Lepisosteus oculatus: one gene and its partners. The protein of the gene in region 2 binds, or shares a complex with, the protein of the main gene of each other region. Links are inferred from orthologs where the notes say so. Each region holds a gene or a part of one and is shown on either strand. Other genes may lie near its edges.

Evidence for each region.
Region 1: mybl1 (region 2) and lin52 share a complex: the UniProt entries of both Homo sapiens proteins name them as parts of the DREAM complex. The link is inferred for Lepisosteus oculatus from reciprocal best matches to the Homo sapiens genes MYBL1 and LIN52.
Region 3: mybl1 (region 2) and tfdp2 share a complex: the UniProt entries of both Homo sapiens proteins name them as parts of the DREAM complex. The link is inferred for Lepisosteus oculatus from reciprocal best matches to the Homo sapiens genes MYBL1 and TFDP2.
Region 4: mybl1 (region 2) and lin9 share a complex: the UniProt entries of both Homo sapiens proteins name them as parts of the DREAM complex. The link is inferred for Lepisosteus oculatus from reciprocal best matches to the Homo sapiens genes MYBL1 and LIN9.

Annotation. Positions count from the first base shown.
Region 1 is NC_090703.1:9,641,056-9,648,952, forward strand, and holds the start of lin52 (protein lin-52 homolog), read right to left. Parts: upstream 3,007-7,897; 5' UTR 2,978-3,006; coding exon 2,902-2,977; intron 2,387-2,901; coding exon 2,312-2,386; intron 1,740-2,311; coding exon 1,702-1,739; intron 1,496-1,701; coding exon 1,429-1,495; intron 23-1,428; coding exon 1-22. Other genes in the region: aldh6a1 (methylmalonate-semialdehyde/malonate-semialdehyde dehydrogenase [acylating], mitochondrial), read left to right, coding at 3,481-3,519, 5,776-5,817, 6,089-6,163, 7,413-7,574, 7,785-7,863.
Region 2 is NC_090701.1:51,408,530-51,415,557, reverse strand, and holds the start of mybl1 (myb-related protein A), read left to right. Parts: upstream 1-4,022; 5' UTR 4,023-4,109; coding exon 4,110-4,132; intron 4,133-7,028. UniProt on the Homo sapiens protein: Transcription factor that specifically recognizes the sequence 5'-YAAC[GT]G-3'.
Region 3 is NC_090708.1:15,800,262-15,808,062, reverse strand, and holds the start of tfdp2 (transcription factor Dp-2), read right to left. Parts: upstream 3,014-7,801; 5' UTR 2,350-3,013; intron 1-2,349. UniProt on the Homo sapiens protein: Can stimulate E2F-dependent transcription.
Region 4 is NC_090697.1:55,789,285-55,796,711, forward strand, and holds the start of lin9 (protein lin-9 homolog), read right to left. Parts: upstream 3,022-7,427; 5' UTR 2,934-3,021; coding exon 2,855-2,933; intron 1-2,854. UniProt on the Homo sapiens protein: Acts as a tumor suppressor. Inhibits DNA synthesis. Its ability to inhibit oncogenic transformation is mediated through its association with RB1. Plays a role in the expression of genes required for the G1/S transition.

The DNA of each region.
Region 1 (7,897 bases), on a different chromosome or scaffold from region 2:
GCAGTGGTCAAGCTCCCTAATTCTGCAAACAAGAAGACACCGAATTCAGACTGTCAGGCCTTTTTTACGAAAAACCAGAGGCTAAGGTCAAATGTAGTAAATATTAGGAATTAGGCTAGTTTTCCTAAAAATATAATAACAAACAAATAAATGTCATGGGTCCCACTGTATAAGATGCACAGATGAAAAGTGTTTTAAGTTGAGCCGTTTTGTTTTGGTAGGGGGAATCAGGGGCTGAGTGAATTAGAAAAAAAACTATATGGTTGCAAAGAGCTAACAACAAGAGACTGAGATACAATATCTTATCCCTGAGCTATAGATGGTACATGTGAGACAGATATCTTATCTTATTACTAATTCTTAGGGTTAAATATGCTGAACTAAAAAATGATTTCTAATAACTCAAGTAAAATGTCATTAGTCTTTGAATTTATGCTGTTAGAATATAATGGAAAAAATTTATTTTGTTTCACGCAAAAATTCACATTGTGTTTAATCTACTTTTGGATGGCCTCATGCAAACGAACAGAACACATGATATAGATTATCTAAATCTAGAAGAACAGGTACACTGTACTCTCTACCATCTTTTCATTTCCAGTCTCTAATTTATCTCACATTCGTGTTTCACTCCCCAAATCCAATATATTCAAAAGGATGTTTCATTTTATTCCACTGTCTATCTTCCATCTGGTGGCATGGTGATGGGCCCTGGGTTCAATTCAGGACCTGCAGTACTATCTGCGTGGAGTTTGTATGTTCTCCTTGCGTTCATGTGGGTTTCCTCCGATGATCCTATTAGGTTAATTTGCTTCTGGGATAATTGGCCCTGGTGTGAGTGTGTGTCTGCCCTGCAAATGACCGGCATCCTGCCCAGAGTGTATTCTGCCTCGTGTTATCTGGTGGCTGGGATAGGCTCCCTTAACCCTAAATTGGATGGAGCGATTAATAGATATCTATTAGATATCTTGTATAATTCTATTCTTCTTTATCGTGACAAAGACAAGTTATGGTCCTTCAGCAATTTAAAATGAGTTTGAGAGTGGTTTATATTTCACCCATTTGTTATCCTACGCAGAGGTGTGAGAGCGGGAGCCCCACCCAGCAGACACTGAGTTCCCACTGATGGGTTGCCGGTACACTGCAGTACACATACAAAGAGACACCAATGAAACCAGCCGACATGTCTTTGGAAGATGGGAAGAAACAGAAGCACCAAACAAATACCCACTTGATCATGGAGATAAAATGCAAACTCCCCACGGAAGGTAGCCCAGCCCAGGTTCGAACCCTGGACAAAAAGGCTATGAGGAAACAGTGCTGACCTCCACGCCACACAAACTCCACAGCTTACTTCACAAGAACAATCATAGCAAGTTCAAAATCAACACTACAGATGGACTACAATACTCAATGCTACACTGTTACCTTTTAACATCTCAATGTCATCATTCTCCAGTTCAGCCATCCACTTGGGTGGGGAGTTGGTTATTGGCTACAGAAAGAAACGTAAAACAGAACTATAATGGCAAAGCCAATAAAAAAAATACAAACAATTCTTCTTGGTTCGATCACTTCAGTGTAAATTGCCATTCCCCCAACTCACTCTCCCGAGAAATAACTACAAAATAAAGTATATAATACGTTCATGAAGGTTTATTATTTATGTGCAAAAGAAACATAGCACAAAAAAACACTTACACTTTTAAAAGAAGCTGCAAATTCTGCTACACCAGGCACTGTAATATAGAAGTTTAAAAAAACAAACTTGATGCACAATGAACCGACATATTCCAAGATAAAGGGGTCAGGGGGTCAGGAGAACAGTACAGGAACAGTTGACTGCTGATTTCTGAGAGCGTGAAGAAGAAAAGACAAAATTGGAAAGGACAAACCTGACCAGGCAATAGGGTTATACCGTTACTTCAATCTGGCAAGTGCCCTGGGACCTTGTAGTTAAGCATGAATGCTCAATCTGTTATCTCCTTCATAGAAAGGAGATCTACATCATTAAAAATGAACATTGTAATTTAGCTCAAATAAAAGAGGACTGCAGGACAACTTACCAGATAACCATTTATAATGCTACACCTCAAGCAAGCAGACCGGGTCTTAAATTCACATTATGAAAGCACTCGAAGAGTATTGTATTAGCGAACTGTACGAATTGGAGTTTCCCTCCAGACCGCGAATGTCTAGAAACTTGCTAGTGTGTGACCAATGCAATGTTTTGAAAGTGTGAATAGCAGACATGCAAATCGTTTTTGTACCAAAGACATTTCGCGCACATGTGAGGGAGGTCAAAACTTACATTGCTCCGGCCACAGATCTGGTGAAGCCCGGTCTAACTTTTCAAAGCTCAGCAGAGAGGTCTCCAAGTCATCACCTTGATTACAAAACAACATGCATTACACTTTACATCATAAATGTCTACATGCTTCCTGTAACGAGGTACAATATATGACCTCGATTATAGCAGTACAAGTTATAACTAACAAAGAGCTTAATCAGGAAAATAACGTAAACGGAAATAAAACTATTATTTGACAACATAAAATGCACAGCATTATAGCTTCTTTGCCCTTTTACAAGTATGCAGAGTTAGAAGTCCGATCCTATTCAAAATACACATTTGTGGTTCTCTACACCTATGTAAACCCATCCTATTACGTACGACATACAATACCTAAATTACTATTTAATTAAAACACGCTAGCAAATCGACAGCTATGTTACGAAGCATCTCCGTAGTGGCCACTCAAATTTAAAAAGACAATTCGTAAGAAAATACCTAAGTTTCAAAAATGCGATATTTTGTCTAAATAGTTCTTTCGGTGAAACTGCAAAAGCTTTCTAAACCCTTCTTCCAGAAAGTCATATAAACCTGAAATTAGAATTTACCTCCACTGGGAGACGCCATTTTCAAAACAACATCACGTGACCAACGGGGCCTGTTTGCCGTTGCTGATAAATTCATGCAGTTTTTAAATTTCTGAATATTTAATTACATACGTAAACCACATTGATAATTTGGTACTCATTACGTTTATTTTTTTTACTTATTTAGTAACTGACACATAATACATTTAATCTACTTTGGCGATTAAACATAATGAATGGCATTAGGATAAACCTGTCAAATGGAGGTTTGAATCCTTCACGTTTTGAACACCCAATGAATGTCACCATGACGAGAGTTTTCGCCCAATTGAGTCCGAGGTTGGGCGGGTTTTGTCTTAATTTCTAAGGCTATGAGCAAGGTGGATGAAAACTGGGAACCAATTCTCCTCCGAGAGCGGTGGGAGGTTTTTTCCCCGAGATAACGATTGGTGGAACATGTCTTTTTCCCCTCCCATCACGAATAAGTGTGTGTGAAGGAGTTTGTCGTTTCTCCTTTGCTGTCAAAAATTTACGGGGGGCGGGGGTTAATCTTGTGAAATTATTAGGGATTTAATTCATAGCGAGCTATAATTTGCAATCATGGCAACAGCAATTATCAGATCCGTGTGGAGGAATAAGGTAAGAGTGCATTGTGAACAGTTTATGGGTTGGTTTGGTCCCAGATTCTTTGTTTACACAATTCTGTTCCTTGCTCGATAGTTTTTAGTATCCAGCGCATTCCTGGAGTTTCTTGCCTGAAAGTCATACAAGACACTTCTCGTGCGCTTATTGCTAAAAATATGCGGTGTGTTCTAGCTGTCTTTTCCAAATTGATTGGTAACTAAAATTATCCTGGCAGTGAGTGCCGCATTATTAAATTACATGTGATCATTTGATTTGGAAATAGAGATTGCAGAATAAAAGCTGCTTATACTCAGGTGGGCTCATGCAAAAAAAAAAAGTAAAATGCTAGATTTTTTACTTTCGTAAGGATAGGTCAAGCAAGGTGTGCTCAGAGACTGAAGTTCAGATGTGCTTGTGATCTTGTCGGTATAGAAACTTCCTAATATTTAAATTCCTGCCTAGCTTAACCCCCTCACCCAACACGCACTTCATCATTTAGGTGTTGTATCAGAACCAGTTCTCCCTGATCACTCAGTGTCATTTGTCAAAAAAGGAAAATGCTGCCTCTTCCGTGGCTGTAAGTCTTTTTCTGCCAGTACTTCTGGTATTCTTCAACAAAATCATTCTCTGATCTGAAAAAGAGGGCTCATGCAAACAAACAAGAGTCATGGAACAGTAATTTGATCCATACATGCTTAACCTTTTATCATTTGCTGAAGTGCATTTTCACATTTCAATTTGACTGCATAAATGTATACAATATTTGCTATCTACACCATCAACAAAAAGAACAAGAGCTCACAATTATTAGAATTTAAAGAGTCTTATTTCAATCAATTTTTTTTTTGACTGCACTGATAAAAGGCTTTATTGTAAATCGGCGATTAAAAGCCTTTTTGGTTATTTAAAGATACACATTATTTCATCAAGCTTCTGCAGGGTATCTAGTTCACTTGCTTCTCTAGATCTTTAGATTAGGATAGTTGAACACTCTGAAACAAGGCAACAAAACTAAATAAAATGAGAAAAATACAAATTCTCTTTTGGATGTATTTTAAACACAAATGACAATTTTAGATAAGTAACTCCCCCCAGCCAACCTTTAAATGCAAAATTTGAAGGTTAAGAGAAAATCATCCAGAAGCACTGTCAGGGGTCATAAGATACAAACTGTGTGTCACTGCCGAAGTTATGCAATAGGCCTTAAGGAGCAAAATGTTTGCTGTGTTGTGGAGCCAGCACAGTTTGAGATTACAGCTTTAAGTAAAGGTGGATATAACATACTGTATTAAGGACAGTGGGAAAATGTTTGAATTACAACATCGAAATAAAGACTAGGGGACAATCATAAACTGATTTTTTAAAGTTTGACATTTTTTAGACTGATAACTGGAGGCACGTTTTGTACAAAATGATTTGTACGAGTCTGGAGCAATCTTCCCAGCCATGTTGTCGAAGTCGATACATATCTTCTTTCAAGACACAGCTGGATAACTTGAATCAGCTGCTCCTAGCAGCCAAACTGGGCCAACAGCCTCTCGTTTGTAGCCTTTCTGATGGTTTGATGTGCACTCCTTCCACCCTTTCAAGGCAAAGTGTTTTATACCGAGATTACTAATTAGCAAATGGAGAAAATGCATATACAAAATTCCTTACAGCACTTTTCAGTTATGGTGGGGATAATTGTAAAATATCAATGTGTTTTTATTTCAAATGTTCTTTTCATTTGTAGGCTTCTTTTTGTGGACATAGGCTGTTTGCTGTATTATTTACAAATTTAACAGTTCAGTAAATGATTTAAAAGTAAAGGTTTATATGTCGGGTGGCACAGTTGCTCAGCATTGCTGCCTCACAGAGCTGGGGCCCTGGCTTCAGTTCCAGATGAATGCTTGTGTCCGTCCGCTCTGCGAGTGACTGGCGTCCCGTCCAGGGCGTATCCTGCTTTGTGCCCGTTGCTTGCTGGGACAAGGAACCTGAATTGGAAGAAGCGGTCTGAAAATGGATGCCTGGATTGTTTTATAGTTCATCGAATTTTCAGTTGAGTTAGATCTAAGAGACCTCTAATAAAAGCTGAATGAGTGTTTGTTTTACCTTTGTTACTGTACAGTATTTTCAGCTTCAAGGCCATGTTGCTGTTTTTCTCAATGAATGCCGATGAAGGACTTTTGCAAAATCTAACGTGTAGTTTAGTTATACGACAGCTTCTTTTCTGCCTTCTTACCAGCGTGTTTACTTCACTAAGCTTATCTTTGCCATGCTCTTGTGTTCCAGGTGCCCCTTGGTGTTGGGCGAATGTACTTCTCCTCCTCTGTGGTGAGTTGGTCCATTTCTTTCATTTTATAAATTAATGGGAAGAAATGCGATGGTCAAAATTTCATTTCTATTCTGCTGTGCATCCAAGGTAATGTAATGTAGTCTCTGTTGATTTTTTTCCACGTGAATTCAGGCAGTTTAGCCTTCACTGTGATGAGAGGCATCTGGGATAATAGGGTTTGTTGTTCATAAACACTATTATTGTTGTTACTGGGTTCTTACTGCATGTGATGAAGCTCTTGAATTATTTACAGTTTTCTTCCTTCCACAGCCCACAACCAAGCTGTTCATTGATGGAAAGTTTATTGAATCCAAGAGTTCAGAATGGATTGACATTCATAATCCTGTAAGTACCCATTAACACTTCCTGAACACTTGTATAAAGGGAAGGATGCATTAAACCTTTCAATTTCAAATGCTTGCATCCTTATTTATGAATTTAATTGACAGCATATTTGATTAACTTGGCAGTTTCACTTTTTAAAAGCCTCCCGTGCCTGCTACTCTGTGAAAGAGGTTAATTACAAACACCTGCCATGATGCAATGAGTTACATTCAGATGGCTGATCTCTACAGCTGTGCACTTTTAATCAGCCTCTGTCTGGAATATGTGACTGCTTTAATCCCTTTATGTTGTCCTTAAATAGAAAATACTCTAGTTTAGTTGAAGATGTATATTCTACCATGCCTATTAATTATTGACTAACATTTAGTTCAACAAGTAAAAACCCAGCCAACAGAAAATATACTATCATTTAAGACAAAGTTACATTTAATCGTTACATCATGCTGAAAAGTATGTTTTGTGTTTCACTATGAAAATCTACTATTATTGTATTATGTAGAAATACTAATAATTATTTTAAGAACTTGTATGTCGGGTAGCACTGCTTAATAATTAAGCAATATAATTTTCTGAGTTCAGCAGTTATCTTGCTGTAACCAAGCTCTAAAGGTCAGTCTAGATATGGAAATGGTGTTTGTCTGACTCCAGCGGGCATGGCTGAGGACAGCCTGTGATGTAATCTCAAGAAAAATAAGTAAAATAAAAATCACAAGTGACATATTGGTGACGTGGGTCTGTCATACCATTGGCTTTACATCATTATTGTGTGTTATCTTTCTGCCATTTACTGATTTACTTTCAACCGTTTGGCAAAAGTGCTTTTTCAAGGAGCTTTGCTAAATCCTTACTGCCACAAGCTAGTTAAATTGGCCCTGGGTGCACAAAATTACAAGAAAAGTCTCTCTGGAACCATCTTAATTCTGTCATCTGTAACTTTAATGCATCACACCAAGGGTAGGGAACAAATGCTTTGTTTCTGTAGGGTATAGAGGTACCTTCCAAACAGCACCAGATTGGCACCTGGAAAACACAAATTCTTATTTAATTGGTTTCATAATGCTGCCAGGGTCAGAGATAGAATGAAAACCAGAAACAAAACGCGTCACTCAAGGACCAGAGTTGCCCACCTCCGCACTGCACAATCAGAGAATGGGAAGGAGAAAGAAAAAGCGCGTCGTTGGGAAACAAATGTGGTTTTTTCCTGATTTCTAGTCCCGATTTACCTGCTGTGGGGTTTGCTGTTCCACAGGCCACGAATGAAGTGATTGGCCAAGTGCCCAAAGCAACGCAGGAGGAGATGTTGGCTGCTGTGAACTCGTGCACCAAGGCCTTCCACTCCTGGTCAGCCACCTCTGTCCTCACCCGTCAGCAGATATTCCTGCGCTACCAGCAGCTCATCAAAGACAACCTGGTAAGAGTCCCACCATCACTGTGGGGATTGTCCTTTTCTGTCCCAAAATGAATTTGGAGGAAAGGTCCTCCTTGTGGCCTTTTCCAAACCCGCAGGAATGACTTTGTGCTTGTTTTGCTTCTTCTTCGGACTCCCCCGAGCTACCTCTACGTCTCACCTCCAGTAACCTCCCCACCCTGAGTCTGTTCACATCGCTGGTGTTATTTCCAGAAAGAAATTGCCAAGCTGATCACTCTGGAGCAGGGGAAGACGCTGGCGGACGCAGAAGGAGACGTATTTCGAGGACTGCGTGAGTCCGCCCCTGTCGCGTTTCTGTCCAAACA
Region 2 (7,028 bases):
ACATTTAAACTGTAATGGTAAACACACACACACGTGATTTTGTTTTCAAAAAGGTGCCTCTAAATGCAGTGTTCCTAAATGTAATGAAGGTATTTTATAATGGTGGTACATATATTTTTAGATCGAGTCACATAAAGTAAAAGTAAAAGGTCAGTAAAAGCATAGCGCAAGATATTTAAAATCATCACAGCAATTTGGTTCATGACTTATTCTTAAATCTGAGCCTCATCATTTCACTGAAAATATTTCCTCTTTCTTGAATTGGTTGGAGGAGAGTTGCCAGAATGAGCAGCCTCCCATCCCCCACCACCGAAATCATTGAAATGACCTGAAGTTCCTGGTTAAATCAAGAGGAAAACCTCGTGTTGACCAGCAGAAAATGGTGAGCTTCAAAGGTGATGGAGGCCTCAAGTACGTGACATGGCACACGTGGCCAAACAGACCTCTCTGCTTTGACGATGTCGACCGGGAAGAGGGAAATCTCTTTCTGGGCTAATCTGGAAACCTGCGGGGTTTCACGGGTTCTTCCCAATTCACAACTGATCAAGGCCCTTAAGAAACTGGTCTGACTTCTTCCAAACACCATTTTGTCAAGCTCCAGATCGGAGCTGGACCTACACACCAGAGGGCCTGACAGCTCGTAAGAGGCTGCCCACTCAGTGCAGAGAGCCCAAAGGAGAATTCAGCCATGTTTGTTGAAGAGGGAGACCATTTTGAGAAGTGTGAAGTGCTAGAATAATTTTAAGTACCTTGTTCTGTGAAAGTCCTGGCTCACAAATTATGATGTACGTGAAGTATCTTTGATTGCAGTCGGTAGTCTTGGAAGTACCTTACATCTGATTTACATGCACTGAACTCCATTATCTGTGCCAACTGTGTGAAAAGATGGCAAAATCCAAACTCGACTTCCATGATGGATTAAAAGGTGGGATGCCGTCTCTTTTTTTAACATTGAGGCTGAGCAATAACTCGACAGCCGGAGAGAATGAATTGGTGTGGGCAAGTTGTACAAGAGAAAACACATCCAAGCACTTTCAAAGTAAGAGGGAAATTTGTTAGAATGTGTATAAATAGCTTGTGTTAGTGTATATATGATTCTGTTTTAGAATATAGTCTATATTGTTGTCCATTCAATGAAAGAAATGGAAAGAGGTAGTAAATTTGCCTAGTCTGGGCAACACTGGTAATTTCCAACAAACCAGAGGTTTGTTTCTTTGTGACTGCTGTACTAATTATATGTAATGTAAGCCAGTGTATTATAATAGTATATATTGTACTATACTTCGATCTGTACAGAAATGTTTTTTTCCCCTTGTTTGCTAATAAAACAATTGAAGTTACCGAGGATACAACATTGCTGTCAGCATGCGTGATGACTTTTCAAACTTAGTGCAATAAAGTAATTGCTTCACACTCTGGCGTTCCATTGTGTTTAATTAACTCCAGGTTACTCATCTCAGACCTACACATCTTAACAGACACTTTGTGTGTAGGCCAGTGCTTTAAATTTACTAGAAAAAAGAAGAGCTCAAGAAATCTGAAGATCACGCAATAAGGTAGGTGTCTGTACTGTGCTATTTGACATTACCAGCTTGATCCCAGATCTTGGATGTTATGTGAGACTGGGTGTGGTCATTCCTAGAAATGGAGACCTTGAAGCAAAACATTGATGCTGCTGTGAACGATCTTGGTGGATCAGTAAGTTGGACTGTTTCCTCTGTACCAGAATTTCCAATGCAGTACCTCAGTATGGTGATGGGGTGACTGCAGCAGGTGGAGACGACACCCTTAAACTGAGGTCCTGACTACCTGGTCTTTAAAGTGTTGTAGGACTCTTTGTAAAAGCAGGGTTGCTAATCCTGGTTTCCCCTGTATATATATATTTTTAATTGCATTTACTGATCTTAGATATTGGTATGATGTTTTTCAAGTCATTTCCTTGCTATCACTGATCTCAAATGAACTTGACCGAGTTTGACCCCCCCAAAAAAGTTAAAATAGAACCATCCCAGTGTGCAAGACCTATAAAACCTTTTCCCAAAAGACTCACAGCAGGAATGGCAGTGAAAGTGTCTTATGCCAAATACTGACTAAGGGGGCTGAATACTTTTGCACGGCACTTTATTTATATTGCTAAACGGGGTGTGCATTCTGACAAGCACTTTGAACTGAAGTGTGCCCGGAAAATAGCAACAATAAAAAATATTAATTTTACATTTATATAGCGCTTTGCTGGACACTTACAGGTAATGGGGACTGCCCTCCACCACCAATGTGTACAGTAGCTCTTGGCTGGATGATGCGATGGCGGCCAAAGAAAGGGTGTATTTTTATAGCAGCACTTTGGAATAAAATGCTGCTGAAACTTCCCGTTTTAAATACCATGGATGAGTTTAAATAGAGATGACATATAGAACACATAGCACATTTGCTTCGGTATTTGAAAAGCTGAGACACTAATTGCTCTTTCTATTTTAAAACGGGGGAAATAAAAAAATAGAAATATATTCGTTTGCATGCTCAGAAATACACTACTCTGAATACTCTGCGTTCGGACCTGTCGTTTTTTTCCTTTGCCTAATGCTAACTTCAAAAGAATTATTCTTATTTTGAGTAGGCAAAATAAGTAGTAGTGTTAATGATAATAAATCGCAAATTTAAGCGATTCTTCCTTTCAGAAATAATTGCTGTTTAGGTAATAAGACTTTTTGATGGTGACATATATCCTTTGCACTATCCCCTAATTTCTTTTTTCACATTAATGATACGTGAAGGCAGTTCTTTATAAAATAATGAACACCAGGGGGCAGTATTTATTAGTGTCAAGAATGAACTGTGCATTTGAACCGGTTCTTTTTTTCTTTTCATAAACCAAACATCCAGATTTACTTTATAAACCCACATATCTGCCGCTGCAGAGTATGGGTCTGACCTCCAAAGTTAAATGTGACTCTTCCTCTCACTTTAAAATACAATGTTAAGTTATATTCGGTATCAGGTGTTATTTGCATTGCTTCTTGCCAGCATGCAAAACAAAGACGTTTCTGAATTTTATTCCCCCCGTTTTAAAACAGAGCAGTTTGCGTCTCAACCTTTAAGAAACCGAAGCAAATGTGCTATGTGCTCTGTATGCCTTTAAACCATATTTAACTGGCTAAAAGTCTTATACATGGTGGTATTAAGACAAAGCAAATCTACATAGTTACATAGAAGCAAATGGTTACAAACCGACGTAACAAGTCTCCGTTTTGAAATAGGGTATTTTGAAATAAGTCAGGTTCTAGCAACGTCGTATGTTTGCTACCTATCAAATAATGATTTATTTAGTCCTCACAGACATCTTTATGGAATTTTTTCATTTGTCATATTTTCTAAGTATTTGTAGGCTTACTTGTTTAATTATTCCGGTACATAAAAAAAAATGAAATGACGGACTCGCGCCCCCCTTCATTATAAAAACAAAAGTAATTTTATTTGCAGCCTAATCCGTAAAAACTACAACTCCATTGAGCACATTGGGACTCACCCCCTCCCGACCAAACAAAATACGTCACACGCCGCACGGCGAGAGCGAGGGACCGCCCACGCCTCCGACCAATCAGATCCGGGGCCGCGTGCGCAGATTCAAACATTTTTCTAGAAGGAGGTTGGGCGCGAGAATCGGCGGGATGGACAAAAAAAATCCGTAGCGGCGAAAATAACACAGACGCGCTGTCATCGCAGAGGAAGGGCGAGCGGCGGCTGACTGGGGCTCAAACAAGGGAAAATATGCGCAGTTCGGCGTCCGTCCCCCCGTTGCCACACCGCGGACACTGACAGCACCCCGAGGTGGTGACAGTTGCAAAGCCCGGAGAAAGTTAGCTGCGCTGCGGAGGGACTTGGTCACACAGAAGCGGCGCTCCGAGGTGGCTCAAAATGTAATCGCGCAGCCGGGATGTCTCCGTCGCCGAAGGACAGGCTGCACTAACGAGGACTGACAGCGGGTGGACGTCGACCTTACACCGCTATCCCCCGAAGCAGGGAGGCATCTGAAGAAGAACAAGAGGAAGGAGAAGGCGACAAGTCAGCGGCGGGTCGTGCTCCGGGGCTCGTCGGCAGACGGGGTCGCCATGGCCAGCGGGAGATCGCGCAGGTGAGTGCCGACTCCCCTCCCCGCCTTCGCCAGACCTCCCCCCGGGAGCACGGCCTGTGTGCACGACTATAATTACACGCTGCGGCTGCACAGCCGCCTGCTCCCGCAACTTCAGAAACGACTTGGGGGGCAAGGTTCTCCGTTAACGGTGTCGCCAGGTGTGACTGGACGCGGCGGGACGGTACAGTCGCGATGTGATCGTGTGACACATGTCGACCTTGTCTTTCTCCTGCAGTAATTTTACAGCAAAGTAGGAACTTGGATACTGAACTCTGACAGCGTGCAGTTAATGCCTCCCGTCTGCAGATGCTCACTAACTCCCCTCACTTCACTGATAGCTCGCTACTGCGCTGGCCCCTCTGCTATTCATTGCCGTTTGATTTAAAACGCCGAAAGCATGTCCCTGCCGATTCGTGCTCCCTGCCACATCAGCACCTGCTTGTGTGACTTCTCCTGTCCTGTAGATGTGAGTGGATTCGCGCTCCGGCCAGTTAGAGGGAGCGGTGCCAACGCCGGGTGTTTAGGGGAAGGTACTTCACTCGGGATGCTGCAGTTAACGCTTTCTCCACCGGCACTGCTCAGATCGCCATCGACCTGTCTGAGTCAGTAGGAAACTTGGATCAGTTGAAAACTGTATCTAGTGCACCGGGCTCCTGTCCAAACCCTAGTGCGCTGTTTAACGTCATTCATTCATCCATCCACCCTTCTTATCTCATAGTTACTGTTTATTGTGGTTTTAAAAAAAACATTTTCTACTGTAAACCTGATGCCCAGCTTGCTTGGATAGATGGCTTTGCATTGCACCTCGGACTTGGGCAGCTGAGAGTAAAAAAAATGACCTGGCAAAGCGTTCACAAACGAGGCGAATGCTGCACGAATCGAGGGGGTATTTTTCAGGCTCATTTCTGTCTTGGCTGCTGTTTTGATAATCGCTTTTCTTCCCCCCCCCCCCTCTGGCTATGGTTCATCGAGTATATTATGAAAATTAAAAACTTTCCGTTGACGGGGAAAACCGCGTTCCCCTGTAGTCTTAACTGCGCGCTACATTCTCGGGGTTTTTGCCTGCGCCAGTGAGGTTTTTTCAGTCTTGCTCGCTGCACCAGATGATTTCAGTACGTGAGGTATTTGTACCTTGTCCAAGACCGTTTCGCACCTCGCTGAGACTGTTAGGATACACTCTGTCTGCTGGGACCTCGATCAGGTCGGCTAGACGTATAATAAAGTACAAAAACAACAATAATAACACGCTTTTTCTGCAAAACTACTTAAGGCCATGCATGTACTGATTGAACAATGCGGTACTGTAGCAGTCCTGCTTTCTGCTTGCTTGCGAGTGGGATGAAGACTATTTGAGAAATGCAGTCTAATAAGAGGTTTTGCTTTTAAATGTTTTTTCTCCTTGTAAGGTCCTGTGTAGTGTTTTGTTTTAAGAAGAGGTCATCCACTGGTCTTTTTGCCATTTTCATAGACGTAGGCAGATTACATAAATCCTGTGCACAATGGAATGACATGGGGAATTAGCTCTGGTCACATGCAGCAGAAGAATGTTTTATAAACTTGTAATGTTTCCTTTTTATTTTTGATTCACTCTTAATAATCGACATCTAGCAATACTGGCTACAGATAGTTTTTCATTTCACATTACTCACCGTCCTTTTTGTATTTCTGAACTTATATCGAGCCCAGTTTTTCTAAGCAAAAAGCAACACTCGGCTATGTTTAAAGCTGTGATGTGAAAATCTGTTACATTGCAGGTATGTAATATTAGTGAAATTGTAGTTCCTTAAAGACAGTGATCTTGTGAAGAAATGCACCCAATGAAAATGACCTCCTGGACCACAAATCACTTTGATTAAAGTATGCTGCTTAGCTGCAGACATAAAAGAATACATTCCAGTTGTAGACAGACTGTTTTTGTTCAGTTGTTCTTAGGAAGTGTGCCACCCATCTTCTAATATTCAAATCTTGTTTCATTTTTGTATAATATTTTATTTTTTGTTTATTGGGTGATCACTGGCTCATAAAAGAACCTTGGGAAAGCAGATGTGTTCTGTGTCCCTCTGAACTAAGGAATAGGTCTGTCATAAGTTACAGCATAAGTCTTGAAAAATACCAGATGCTCAGTATTGCAAATTCAAAACAAACACGTTTCTAAGCATGCTCGCTTGATTTTATTTCTCTTTAGTCCCATAGCTACTACTGGTTATCTTGGGAAATTGGGGGAACAGCTAATTAATTCCTCTTGAACCATCCTCAGTTGGACAATTTAGTCCCACCTATCTTGCTTAGACATCACAAAGACAGACATCCCAATGTGGAATTGAACCCAGGAATCTGGAGCTGTCAGGCCACTGACCAAGGCTGTGTAATATTAAGCTCTTTCTCTGCGATCCATCATGATCATCACCCATAATACATCAGTTATGGGCTATTACACAGGTTGCTGATAGGTTATTGATCCAAGAATCTTATCAAGCTGGTTCCTCAGGAACCCGAGGAATGAACTTAGTGCAAAGGCTGAGTCGTTTCATCTAGATGCTTGTAGAATGCCTGCAGTTTTCTTGTTATTTCAGATTCCATGGGTTTCAAGTGTTTTGAAGGTGGTTGTATTTCCTCAGCTTCTTATTCTCTTTTAAGGTCTCTAGGGTCACATTAGTTAGGTTCCAGAAACTTGTTTTAAGAACTTGTTCCTCTGTATTAGTCTTTGTGGAAACTGCAATAGCCACAAGCAGGATAAAACTGACAGGTTATCAACTAAGCTTTATGGAAAAAGTGAGCTTTCCATTATTCTTGTCTATTAATGATTCATACATGTATACTGGTGATATAAGCCTTTGTTTGTTAAAGAGCGACATGTGGAACACTCTGAAGTTCAGGAGGTGGGGGGGGAGGGGGT
Region 3 (7,801 bases), on a different chromosome or scaffold from region 2:
AACTATCAGAAGTACCACAGTGTGCTACCTACCAAGAAGTGACACACTGCTTGAAGCAAAAGGGACAGTCTAAAAACACTGACTCAATTATACATAGAAAGGAAAACGGAGATAATTAGTTCTCCTTAAACAGGGAAAATATTGTTTTATTTCAGCCAGTGTGATCACTGCTGTTTTCACAACGAGCAAAGCTAGCTCACTGAACTGTAGAGAAATGCTGAAATGGCCGTCCAATTGCTTTTCCACAGGTAAGGATCTCAGACTATGCACAAAGGTTTTACCACAGATCCCTCAGAACGGCGATCCTTTACGTCATCCACTCTCGTACTTAAGAGGCATGTGCCGTGTGTGATAGAGGCAATCAGAACATGGAGAGAACCACTCTGAAAACAATTCAACACTCTGATAACAACTCTGGTCTTTTACAGTTCGAAGTGTATGACTGCAGCAGCTGATGCTGAACTTTCATATTCCCAACCCCACCATTATTTGCTGAAATGCAGGATAGCAAATATCTTAAGACACCTGTCACACACACCACCCCTTCACCCCAGGAGGGTCTCAGTTTTCACAGCCTTGCCACTAAGAGATTATTACTTTAAGCCGTTTGTACAAGCACAACAGATGTCCACCACAAGTATGACAGCTTGTTGTTCTGTACTATGCAAAAACACCAACGAAGCAGCTCTAACAGTCCTGCCTCAACAAATGTAGGTTTAGATTCACACTTTTCTTCCTGCCAGACATGACATTGTTTGCCATATGCTGTACAAGTACAATCCGTACCTTACAAGGATCTTTGTCCTGAAAAAGTTCTGGTCTCATAAGGCTGTACTAAATGAAGTGTGGGAACTAAGAAAGGATTTTGAATGTGTGCGGTTACTTCTTTATCTCACTCTGAGGGACTTCACTGCCTGCACATCTCTGTGAGAAAGCAAGTCTGCGTAAGGCCACTTCTCCAATCTACCATATAATAAAACACTGACGCAACATGAGCTCCTACACTGTATCTCCTTTTAGGACGTTTAATGCAGCCTGAAAGCACCGGAAGAGATCCAATCTTAGCTGCAGGGTGGACATTAAAAAAGGCTTTCATTAAATACATTCAAATTACAGAAACTCTAAAGGATGAGGCAGTCTTCTAAATGAAGTAAAAAATTCAGAACAAAAAAAAAAAAGGAAGATGATCTCTATGGCAGAAATAATTCCTTTTTCAGTAAGTGATTCAACCTTAGAGGGTTGTGGTGAGCCAGAGCCTAACCCCATCAGAGCAAGGCTTTAGGTGGGGCTACATCCTGGATGGGACAACAGTTCATCGCAGAGTGCACACATTCACACAGGGAAGCCATTAGAGACGCCTGCTAAGCTAGACAGCTTGAGGGAGGAAACCGGAGGTTCTGGTGAAAAAAAAGGACACAGAGAAAGCATGCAAACTCCACACAGAAGGTCCAACAGGCTAGATCTGAACCCAGGGCCAAGACCTAAGATTCACTGACACTGACATCACAGTGCTGCCCCCTGCCATCCATAGTACTCACGTCTTTTTAGTGTATGTTTTTAATAAAGAGCGGAAAATGTAAAAGATACCTGTGATTACGGGGTAGAATATTTGGGTTTAACGCTTTTGTGAATAATCTTTTTGTAATCTTTAGGTATCAGGCTGGACGAGTTTGGGGTTGCCCACTTTAGATCACGAGTTAATGGAATTGGAAGATGAAAAAGGGACGGCTAATCAGTCCGTTTAAAAATGACAGCAGTTCTGAAACATGAAGGGAGAAATCAAATTCAGCAGAACACACTAAGTCAGAAGCATGTGAGCAGATGTACAACACTGCCAGGAACTGGACGCCTATTCAAAAGGAGGCTCTCTGGCATGAGTGATGTTGATCCCAAAGAGGAATTTGTAGACGATGGCTGGAATAACTTACTCGGAAATCATACAGGGCCGGTACACCGCGCATGCAAAGCAGGATGTTAACCATTTTCTGCATTTTCACTCTTGCAAAAATAGCCCAATTCGTCTTGTACAGAATTGGCATTTGATGTTTCCTTTACTGCTCGCGAATTAGTTTGCATCACAAAACTGTACCAAGTTGGACGTAATATATTAATATAATATAGCATTTGCAACATAAAATAAATACTGCACACGGCAGTCCAATTATGTACATTTTTGTCAATGAAAGCTTGCACATCAGACAATTTAATTACAAACATCTTAGCGTTACTGTAGTATAAACATATTAAACCCTACACCGTCGCATTATTTGATATTTGTCAAATCCAGAAAGAAATACTAACAGTTAAAGACGGCAACGATTTTAAAAAGCATAAGTCAAATATACTTACCATTTTGTTTTTTGTAGAAGAATTCACAGTCAAGGGCAAACTTTAGTTTCGTTTTCAGTATGTGCGATTTCTTAACCGCATTCATCGGTCGACTAAAATTCTTATAAACTAAATAAGCTAAAAATGTGCACAAAGTGATGTCTACGATTCGACACTCAAAGCGAGCTTTAGACCTTAGAATACGAGCTTTAAATTCTACGAAGAGATAAACTCGCTTTCAAATCAAGTGATATACAGTACTGTAGGTCGCTAGACTGTAAAGTTGCAATTTTGGAAAGACTAAAGTCTAAAGTGCAGAAAATAGACTTCAATAAAAAATCTCGAGCACAACTTGATTTTTGCAGCTTCCGACATCCAAGCAATTTCCAGTGAATCGATGCGCTGTATTATCCTACCCTGCGGGCTGTGTCTTTCGGGAGTTTTTTGTTCGCTTATTGTAACGATCAGCTCAGCCTTTTTTAAAAGAAATACACCGCAGCTTGAAACTACCGAAGGGCGCCAGGCTGGTTGCTATCCTGACGCTAGGCGTCTTGCGGGTGTTGCGCGAAATTGCCCCCCGCACAGTTTTGAAAGTGGGGGTGAACGTCAATGGTCTTTGCCCGAGTTGCACTAACAGAAGGGAAACAAGCTGCAAAGCAACTGTCGTCCGCTTCCTGTCAGAACAGACTCCGCACACAAGCTTGGCGGCGGCTGCAGCTGTTCGCTCTGATTGGACACGCATGTCTGTGATGCTCGACACCAGATGAAAGCAGATTGGACAACCCCCCCCTCCTTACCGGAGCTGTCATCTGGCTTTTTACAAAGAAGACAGGCCGATATGTAAACAGTACGGATCTAAGAAACCCATCATTTTGATATATTTCTTGTTAATGAATTAGAGATTCATATTTCAGGATGTCTTTTATATCATTTTAAGAAACCTAAACTTTAGGGGACACCTCAAAGTACTTTATGAGACTTCTGGAAATATCCTTGCAAATATGTGAACGGTAATTTACTCTCCGATCCCTTACAGTTCAGATTTGTATCCCTGTAAATCATTGAAAGAGATATCAAAATAGTTTGTTTCCATTTTGCACCAACAAACAGCGAGTCGTTCCAACTTATCTCTAAATGATTAGTCATCTCTGCATATGCTGGTATCTTAAAAAAACGAAAACAAAGGAAATGTGTCTGCGATACCTCAAATTATAATAATGATAATTAATGATTTGTCTTGACTTAATAAAGGGGTGTCCGTTTTTGTTCACTGTAACCCTTCACGTAAGAGACATGGGGAAAGAACATCTTTATCTCGTGCGCAGGACAGATCGTGCAAGCAAGAAAAGTAGTGGGGATGACATTACGTAAATCTCTACTGCACGACCATCAGGATTGTGCTTTTACTTCATCTACATCGTTGAGAATGGTTTGGCCACGAGGTATATCTTCTTCGCACGACATTATTATCTCACAGTCACGACTTAAGAAGTCGTGCGTCAGAGAAAAAAAACAATATTCCCGCTTTTCGCCTCCTAGGCTCCATAAAATAATAACAGTTCATCTAATTAAATGAGAAGGAAGCCTTCCCAGTATTCCGTGTCTTAACAGCAGAGACTTCTCTGTTGCAGGGTTTCTCCAACCAAGAGACTGGACTAAATGTGTCTTAACCTGGAACTCCTGCTTATAAATGTTTTCAAATCCAGAGTAAGGTCATGTAGAGGGATTTTGTAGACTTCCGTTTGATTAGATTTTTACATTGAGAGACCTCATCAGGAAAAACGTCTTGTTCATCGGTTATGCCGCCAGAAAAATGTGGAAATCCCACCTTGTTGTACCCTACACAAACCAGCACCTTCAGAAAAACTGTTGTATAAAGGCCCACCCACACACTTTTACAATTTTACAAAGGTATAACCTCCAGAAATAAAGCCACTGGGTAGCAATAAAGCCAATTTGGGAATTTCAACATTCAAGTTCTTGGATCTTATGTGGCCTACTGCAGTTATTTCCTCTCCAAGACAGACAATCCACCCTTTTACTCCCCATTCCCTCCAAGTTTGGATGAAGAGCACAATTCAATTCCATACCTGCTGTACCAGTGAACATGATGACATGGTGTTGTTAAGGGACACCAGGGACAATTTGGGAATATTTATCTACAAGTGCCATTTTCAATGGCTTTGGTATGGTGAAATAACACACACAATAAATCTGTGAATTGTGCAAGTTAAAGTAGTTCTGTTCATTATACGATTGAAATTGAAGTAAACACCTTAGTTTTCTTTGATGATGATCTAGGAAAGCTAAAATCACCTTTTAATATACTGCAGACTTGAAAGGGACTCATCACCTATTCTAGAAAGGATGCTTAAAGATGTTGCAGCATCCTTCATTTATAATGTGAGTAAAAATAATTTTCAAAGCAAACAGCTTAAATTAAGCTCAACAACCAGTTTCAAAATCTTTAAAATTGCATTTTGTCCCTGCCAGGACATTCCTGCTTCAAAAGGTTGGGTGATACATAGTGTATTCAACTAACTTTTACAGTTATGATGCAAAGATGAAACCAACAACAGAATCATATTAGCTCTAATGCAAAGACAGTACACACGGATAGTTTCTGTTGAGGTACAGCTATTCTGTGCTTTGGTGATGGTGTTGATTTTAAAGTGTCTGTGCATAACACTTCACCATCACCGCCTGTTAGTTAAACAGAGAAGGGTGTGCATGTGTGTGTAGGTATGAGGGTAGGGTGGGGCACATTCCATTTTCATGCCAGTTCATGTAAGTGGTATGCAGTGGTGTATACCAGGGTTTGACTTTCCACCATATAAAAGTGAGGTCTGGTACCTATCTAGTTTATTTCACCACTATTCTGTTAGTAATGGCTGATTTCTTAAGCCAACCAGTAGACGTGCTGGGATCGCGGCCTATCGGGCCTGGCACAGAGTCCGACTAATCTAAGTCATAAATCTTAATGCCAAGTTCGATACTCTGTAAATTATGCATCCCTTTTCAGTAACACTTTAGATTAGGAGTTCTATTTCTAAATATTTTATAATTGAAACATAATAACAACATTAACAGTCAGCAAACTTTGATCATTTCCAAACTTTAGTTTAGATTAATTACATTTGTAAAAAAAACTACTTCTGATTACACCCCTAGGATTAGAGGTGTGTAATTTAAGAACTCTTTATAAAATCATTAAACACATGTTAATAGACCTTTAGTACAGAGAGTTAAACTTAAGTGAGACCCTTTAGAAAGTATCACTTATAACTCCTAAACCAAACAAATAATTGACCAGTTAATTTATCCATCCATCTATTTTCTAACTGGTTATTCCAATTCAGGGTTGTGGGGTGAGCCAGAGCCTATCACTGCAAACAGCACGTGCAAGGCCAGGTCACCCTAGATGGGATCTGGTTAACGACTCCATCGCAGGTTACTGAAGCTTCCTTTAACCATTTATATACTGTATGAGAACAAACTGACTTTAGTCCATAAATGTACAATTTGTCAGTAAAGGTGAATTCCTAACAGCTTATTAATACTCTGTTAATGCTCTCTTGATATAGTAAAGATGATGAAAATGTATAATACATGAAATTTGCAACTTCTTATCTGAATTTCACTCGTCAGTACTGTTTTTTCCCCTCTGCAAAAACCATGGACAAACTGTTCACTCCAAAGTTAATGAGTAAGACAGGTCACATGCCAAAGGTTCGCCCACGAGGAAAATCAGACACTTTGTTATAAATCCTAAAACAGGGCAAAATAATTATTAACACAACCTGAAAGACACCGTTTGTACAATCTAATTAACAAACTGTGCTATGTGATATGAACAAGAATACTGGAGTAAACCTCCATGCCTCAATGTAGTCAAAACAGAACACAATCTTATACAGAGGTCATTTATAATTACTTTAAATATACAGTATATTAATGGTTTTAATGCATAAAGTTTTGATGATGTCATATTTTAGCAGCTGTAGGAAACAAAAACAATTTGAAATACGTTTCTACAGTGTTGTAATCAGGTAGCAACCCCTCTCCCCCAAATTAAATGACATTAACCTTGCTATACAAGATTGTCATTTCTATAAAAACTGAAGCCTCCAGAAATTTGGGATCATAAAGTAATAGTCATGGCAAATACAAATCTTGGTGTTAGTGATAAAACAGCAAAATGCAGTACAGAGGTAGTACTATAAAAGTGCAGTTTAAAAATGCATGATTTGGAATTAAAAAACATTCCATTTCAAAATTAAACATGTAAATACTCCAGTTAAAAATATACTATTTTTAAAAAGGAGTACATTTTCACAGTTTAATTATACCCAGTGTTTGTGTTCAATTAGATCCTGTAAACATTGAATTTATTATTTAACAAATTCTAGGAAATGGATGGTTATACATATTGGCACATAAGCCTGAGCTTGAAATAAAATGCATCTATAAACTGCTCTATAACAGACAATACCTTTGGTGAGACAAAGAGCAAAGACAACTACTACTATAGCGAAGGAAGAAGAAAAAGCAGCCCATGAAATAATATCTCCTCTGTGTGTGGCACCTGCCCCTCTTTCACAAGCAAAGCAGTATTTCAGCCTGTTACAACCTGTTGGACAAGTTCAGGAAGCTGCCGTTTGAAAGTTATGCATATTTCCCTCCTCAAAACAATAAACAAAGCAGTTTGGTTTAGATACTATGCATCTAATGCATCCAGCTCTGTAAACCTCAGAAATACAAAAAGGCACACTTCCAGATTAAGGACCAAGAAAGACCCACACTTCTACACAGGAACAGAAGAGACTGCTTTCCTCAGGGAGGTATACAGAGTGAAAATGTGTTTTTTTTAAATTAAATGACAGCATTTAATTAAAAAAAAAGGGAAAGTGCAGGCCTCATTTTGGCCAGTATGTCACAGTTAAAAATAATTTTTGATCATCATTAAAGAGAGAAGCATTTGGAATTATTATGACACCTAATTTCTGCATAAATATAAAAATACATCATATTACTTACAGTATATTAGGCAAAAGGGCAAATCTTTCTATTAAGGACTAGCTGGTCTGTTTACATTCATAAGGGATACTCATTCTTCATATCACTCCCATTAACACATACATTGCAAATAGTGTATAGTTAGTTATGCTCCCCAATATAAAAGTAACACAGATCAGAACAGGTCGAGAAAATAAACAGGATATGTAAAGAAAATATCTTGACGTCTTTTTTGAATCAGCCATGAAATAAAGCTTTTATAACTTACTTTTTTGTTCGCATGAAATCATGTACCCTGGCATTCTTCAGAAGAGCTTCATGTAATATTCCCTTGTAATCACTCAATACATCATCTTTTTACACCCAATGTATTCTAATACTTGGGAACCTTCATGAGAATAATACATATTGAATCATTTTACTTTAATGCCTCAGTAAAATCATGCAGCAGCACATT
Region 4 (7,427 bases), on a different chromosome or scaffold from region 2:
TTTCAGTGTCTCTCGCTCCCAGCACAACTAAGTAAATATTCCTTGGTTTGAAGCTATAAGAACTGGAAATGTTGACTATCTAGGCATTACCCATTGTCTATAGATTCTTTGAGACACTTTCATAGTCACCTACAATAGTCTAAACCGGTGCGGTGGCACTGTGGGTAAGGATCTGCGCCTGTGGCTGGAAGGTTGCCGGTTCAAATCCCACAGAGGAATCCTACTCTGTTGGGCCCCCGAGTAAGGCCCTTAGCCCCAGCTGCTCCAGGGGGGCTGTATAAATAGCTGACCCTGCACTCTGACCCCAAGCTACTCTCCCTGTCTGTGTCTCATGGAGAGCAAGCTGGGGTATGGGAAAAGATGAATTCCTAATGCAAGAAATTGTATAGGGCTAATAAAGTGATCTTATCTTAAAACAACATGGGTATGATGCATGCAGTAGAAAAAAAAAATTATCCATCTTAAACCAATTCATCACAATCTGAGATGAACTAAATCCACATTCGAGCAGCTAAGCAGAAAGGATGGCATAGCTTGAGATGCTGTCAGGAAGGTGAAACATAAGAGTATAACAATTTGGTTACTACAGTTTATGTAATAAGTATATCATCTGTAATAACCCAATAATATGCCACTGTGGTTCAAAATTCTACTTCAGGAGATTCCTGTGACAGAGAAGTGATGCGTGTTCACAGGTAGCCCAAATATATTTTTGGTCATATTATTGATAAAGTGGGGTCATATATATTTTTACCCTTTCTACGTTTGTGAGATATAGCTAAATAACTACTACGTCTTCTGCCAGAATCCACAATCGCGTCTTATCTGTTCCAAATGACTCTGTTGACTTATTATTCAACAATCCACCATAAGAAAATTTGTCATCATAAGTAATTTAATTTTCATCTGAAAAAGCATCTATAAAGGACAGTGAGTATCAGCAGGAGAACTTAAGGAGATCTAGCCTACATTTTAGAAATGGATACATATGTAATTGAAAAATCAGCTCTATAAAACAAACTAACTGCACTTACTTTCAAAACCAGAAGTCAAACTATGTATAATCTGTCACTCCAAGAAAGGCCATATGATGAAAACACAAAATGTGTGCAATTATTAGCAAGTTCAGCCAAGAAAAACAAGAACATGTGGCATTTTGCCACTCCATATTCAGGGAGATTCTTTGACTGGACATTGAAGATGCTGTAAATAACATAGTAGGAGGGCAACATGAAGGAACATGATCTCCTTGATAACAGTATAAAGTATTCTTCAAATTAATAAAATCATTTTTAATTTTCTTTATCATTAGAATGTTAAATTCATGTTCTGTTAAATACATGAGCAATGCTAGAATAGACACACAAGATTTTAGAAACCTTAGAAATGAGAAAATCAAAGAAATTCTTAAGCTGAGAAGAGACTACATAAAGTGTTGTATGCTAAAGCTGTTACACAGTACTTGGGTATTTTTTAAACCAAGGCCTAGGTTCCTAAAAAAGTAAGCCTACCAACAATATGCATCACTGATTAAGGTCAAATTTCAGAACCAGGACTGAGAACCACTGAAATACCCATTCCAAGGTTCTTCATTATGGTATAAAAGCTACAGTTTCTTGCCTAACAGATGCATGTTGGAAACCTTTAAATCTATCCAAGTCCTTCTTCCGCAATTGTTTGCATGAAGGTCAGTCCATTACCAGAGCACTTGTTTAATATTTGTCACAAATAAAACATGGAAATCAATGAATATCAAAAGATTTCTTTTTTTTTTAAATCTACACTTTTGATGATAATTTCAATTCCACATTTCCAATTGTGAAAATTTCATAGATATCTCCATTCATCCATTTTCTAACCAATTTACCCAATAAACCCAATTGCACAGAAGCAGGAGCATAGCTTGGCAAGCAACAGGCACAAGGTGGGATTCACTCTGAATGGGACATCAGTCAATCACAGGACATACAGACACAGAGACACACATTCACACCAGGGCCAATTGTCCCACAAGTCATAGAGATCTTTAAGTTTTCCAATTTGCCAGTCCATTGCTTACAGAACTGTCTTTCAACAAGAAGAGTATAGTTTGTCCATATTGTAATAACACTATGTTCTGCAGTACAACTAAATTGTATTCATATAGCTAAGATACAATTAAGTTTATGAAATGCAATGAGAATGTTACCAAAACAATATCAATGGAAAACCATCCATCTCATTTAAAATACGAACAAGCTCCAATAACGTTTTCTGCAGATTTTTAAATTTAATTCACTGTACAGCAGGCATTCGATATGCACTGCTATCCAGTTAACACTCCTGTCATGAGCTGTTTGAGCACACAGGTAAACAATGTGTTTACAGTACAAAAAATGATAGACATTTCACGGTACTTTTTTACACAAGAGAATTTCGCATCGCTCAATAAAAAAGTTGTTAAAATGAACACGTCAGTGTAAAGAAACGCAGAGCTTTATTATTCTCCGTAGGCTCCAGCTAAATTGTTGTTGTGGATTTAGAAAGGGGAAGACCTGCATACCTTTTCGTTGATGATACACAAATATATCAAATTCTCCTTTGTGTGTACCTAAAGAATGACTGTCAAAAAGGTTGCACAATGCTCACCTCTGTGTTTTTGTATTGATATTAGCTACTTCATTAAAAGCAGCTGATCATGGCACAAACAAGAAATATTCGCGTCAGAAACAATTCCGTTAAGCAGTCCAAATTCATTTCGGGCGTGTTTTTCAGAAACACTTGAGCAGTGTCCGTTCAGTATTACTCTTGGAAATACTGTTTCCGAACATTTTTATCAGTTTTTAAACCGCTTGTCAGTTTTGTTGTTACTCACTCTCGTCCAGCAGCTGCTCCAGCTCCGCCATCTTGAATGAGCCGCGCCGCTTTTTCAAAGGCTGCCGGTCGGAATGCATTGTGGGACAGAGACTGCCGGAGAGGGCAGTTCGAATGCGGGATGGATGTTTAGTGCGCTTGTTATTCGAGTATTTTTGTAATTTAAAGTTGAATTTATCATTTGGCTTGTTCTTTAATTCGTGATTCTAGAGAGTATAACATTTTACAGTACAACCTTAGCATTGCACACCTATGACGGAAGAAGAAGAATGTTCTGTGTACTACTCTTATCTGCACTCTAGCTACTTGATGATTTCCTGAAGTGAAACTTCTGGTTTATAACAGAGACTAGGGTTGTGACATAACCAGGCCTCCCTGAGACAGAACAAGTTTGTAATGTTGCCTTTAAACTAAAATATATTAACGTTATTAGGTGTCTGCTCATACCTAATAACTCAAAGATGATTATTGTTGATAAAAGTTGTTGAATGTTATTTTTCATGACATATATTAATTTTGGTATTTCTCCATTAATAGTAGGAAATCTAATATGAGCACATTCTTCCCTAAATAAAAATAACAATTATTTCTTCTGCTAGCAAATACTGGAAACAGCTCATCTGACCAGGGGAGTTTCGGCAAATCAGAATGATATTTTAGCAAACACAAAAATATAGGCAAGTGTAAAAGACAAAATATCTTGTATATCTCCAAACCTGAAAAGGTTTATTTTACATACTGTGCTCATCACAAAGTGTTTACAGTAGACAGAAAAGTAGGCATATGCAAGGCAGATATGCATATACACAAGAATGGTTTAATGCCTATGATTTACATTTGTAATAGCATATTCATTATATATATGACATGTACTTGAAATATTTATTTTGGTCTTTTCAGAAGTTGTTTTTTTAAATCCCTGGGCCTGAAGAGGGTGCTATAAGACATTTAATAAAGCCATTATTTGCTTCTCATAAATCATTGGACTAGTCAAATTCAGATTATGTTAAATACAGAGTAAAAGTTTTGATGACAGAGTAACCATACAGGATTTTTAATTAGATTTAAATTACTAAAATGCAAGAGGGGCAACAGCTGCAATAAAAAACAATGCTGGTTGGTACGCTTCACTTTTTTCAAATCAAATACCTCCCTCAGAGATTAGCTCCTCCCCTGGAGAGTGGGCTTCCTCCAGTGTCCTTCTGTTGCCTGGTGTTGGTGGGTTCTTGATTATTTCCAACACTCCTCTGGCAACTTCAGCTCGAGCCTCTTGCTTACCTCTGCTGGCTCCACTAACCTGTGTAGATGACATGGTTAGGGATGGACACCAGAACAAAGCAGTTCAAGCTGATGATCAGCTTCTCCTTTGCCCTTAAAGGCTCTCTGACTTCAGGTGCTTGATGTAAGGAATCTAAAACACAGTCTTGCCTATCTATTTTTTCAATTATCTCTGCTCTGTTAAAAGAAAGGGGCATGGAATCTCCAATTAAAATGGATTAGTGAGCAAATAAAACTGTCAAAATACATTCGTGTTTAGACTTTTATAATGCCAGTGAGAAAAAGTTACTCAGACTATTTCTGTCTACCTAACAGAAAGAATACAATAGAGAAATCCTTCTGTAATACAGATAACAGGGGCGATGGCATCAGAACAAGGGCTAGATTTTTACCTCTGAGGTTTATTATATGTTTGCTCATTTTTAAGCTTATTAACAATCCCTTTACAGTGTGTTCTTTCCAAGGCATTCCCTATTTAAAATTTAATAATAAAAGAAATCAGGCAAAATAGGAAGTTATTAACTTATTGTGGGATTTAGCACGATTTTTGTAAGATGTTCTTTATTTCATGCCTTGGGGTGTAGAAGAACTGTCTGTAGTGTTAATGAGTAATGCTGCTATCTACTGTATACAACCTAAAGCCTTTTTAAGGCCATAATGTTAACCACACTGTTAATACAGCTAATTAGGACCATACCCAAGGCAAGACTCTCATGAGTATGAAAGCACTTTGGAACTGACAGAGATTCTGTAGAAGGAGGTCACTGTAATCAGCCACGACAGGACTTGTACTGTGCGTGATATTCTCCAGTACCAATGTTTATTAAGGAAAAACAAACAAATCCAAAACAAATGAACTTCAGGATCATTCCCATGCCATTAGTCAATGTGCAATTTATTAACACCAAGTTTACTCCCACAAGTTGCCTTTAGACAGTAATGATGTCTCCAGATGTCTTCTTAAACAGATTATTTCAGAGGAAACTACAATGGAACGGAATAATTACCACAGGGAACATCAACGGACCTGGTGAGGATGCATATTTGCAGTATTCTCAAGACATAATACAGCAAAATGGCAAACTAATTCTTGAATATTGTAATAACAACCATACAAAGAATAGTTCTGGACTGGCAGAGCTAAAAAATGTTATGATAGAATTTAAGATTTGGAGTGTTTAGTGTATCTCATTATTAAACTGAAAACTAACCTCCATAGGTAAATTGACATGGCCTGCGCAGAAATTCTGAAGTGAATTGGGTTTATAAGCTAGACATATAACATCCTCTGGGAGTCTGTTACAGCAATTTGAACTATAAAAATAGGGTCTCACAAGAATTTGCACTAGAATACATGGAAAAATAAATGTCATAAACACAATGAAAATAAAACAAAGGTCACATAAGGAAAAGGAAGATAGACAAAAGACAAGAAATAATTTCAATACTACCAGATTTATGGAAACATGATGACCATGTATTATGAAGGAAAGATTACCTGACCTGAACTCAGAGTAAAAACCTCTATCCACTACAACGTAAAAATCAATTTTTGAAGGCAATTTGGTGTGCTAATCAGTGGAAAGAAGCCATCAAGGACTCAATGTGTAACTCGCCAGTTCTCAGGTAGTTTAAAGGTTTGATTTAATCTTGTCTATTTTGCCTGTGTTTGTATTTAGACTTTTTAGAAATAAATTGTCCGATTAAACCTGAGTATGACTCTAATACAATACTATTAGTCCTAGAGCTTTCTGATGGTACTGTTGCAGAGAATCTTTCCGAGATTATCCCAGATGAACTATAGTCACCCTTCAGCCCAGACACCAGCCTTTACAAAAGGTCAAAGGTTGAGACTTAAAATACTACAGAAGCCGATGGAAAGTCAGTTGTTTAAACACATTTTGCCAATGTGTGAAGATGTGTTAAACTAAAGTTCTTTTAGCAGATGGGAACAGTGAGTTACTGTCCTTGTAATCCCTGTCACCTACAGTTCAGGTATTAATGTACAAGAATATTGAATGAATAGATAGTGTGTCTGTGCAACAGTTATGTAACTGTTCAGAAAGCAGCAAATCCCAAAGAAAGGTGTTTTATTCTTAATCGGTCTAGACAGCCAAACAGCCTCCTCTCATTTCTAACCTGTCTTATGTTCTTAATTAATAGGCTTATAGATGAATTATTCTGCATATCACTGTTTAATTCATAAAGTATAAAAAAGGAGTTATATTTCATTGTGTAGAATGACAAATGCTTCCTCTGAGAGCTGGTTTGGGTTAAATTGCATTCTTTACTGCACCACATACAGTTCAATATCAAATGCCTTTTCCACATGCTTCATTTTCGCTGAAAACTCTGGCAAAAATACTATTTTTATGGCATTACAGCTTGTGTTGGCAATAAGATCCCTGCCTTTGCATTTTATAATAACTAGCAGAACACTCATATGTGTTAAACTTTATACTGTTTACTTGTGTTTAAAATTAGGCATCTGCTATAAATCGGTATTCTAGCAGTAACCCAAATGCACATTTGGCATTGTATATTTGGGACACTGCTATCTGCTGGAGTAGAGGGCATGGAATTCCTTTTCAGAGTAAACTGTAACAAATGGAATCCTACTCGGAAGGTAGTGAGTAGAGACCAAGGACGGATTTTAACTTACATTAATAAACCCAGATAAACAAATTTATAATAATAAATAAATAATTATTATTTTTATTATATTTAATAATTCCTAATCAGTATAATTCCTTACACTGATATAGCACTTTTCTGGACACAACGCTTTACAGGTAATGGGAACTCCCCTCCACCACCACCACCAATGTGCAGCATCCACCTGGATGATGCATCAGCAGCCATAGTGTGCCAGAACGCTCACCACACACAAGCTATCAGCAGGGGAGTAGAACAGAGTGAAGCAACCAATTCGAAGATGGGGATTATTAGGAGGTCATAATAATGGGGGGAAATCTGGCCCAGGACACAGGAGTTTACACCCCTACTCTTTTCAAGAAACACCCTGGGATTTTAAATGACCTTGGTTTTACATCTTATACTAAGGACGGTGCCTCTTTTAAAGCACAGTGTCCCAATCAGTATACTGATCTCTCTCTCTCATCCAGGAGGTCTCTCATCCAGGTACTGACCAGGCTCACACCTGCTTAGCTTCAGTGGGCTGCTAGCTGTAAATTGCAGGGTGATATACAGTTGTGAGAAAAGTTCATGAACCCTTAGGAATTATATGGATTGCTGCATGAATGGCTCCTAAAATGTGATTTGATCTTCATCTAAGA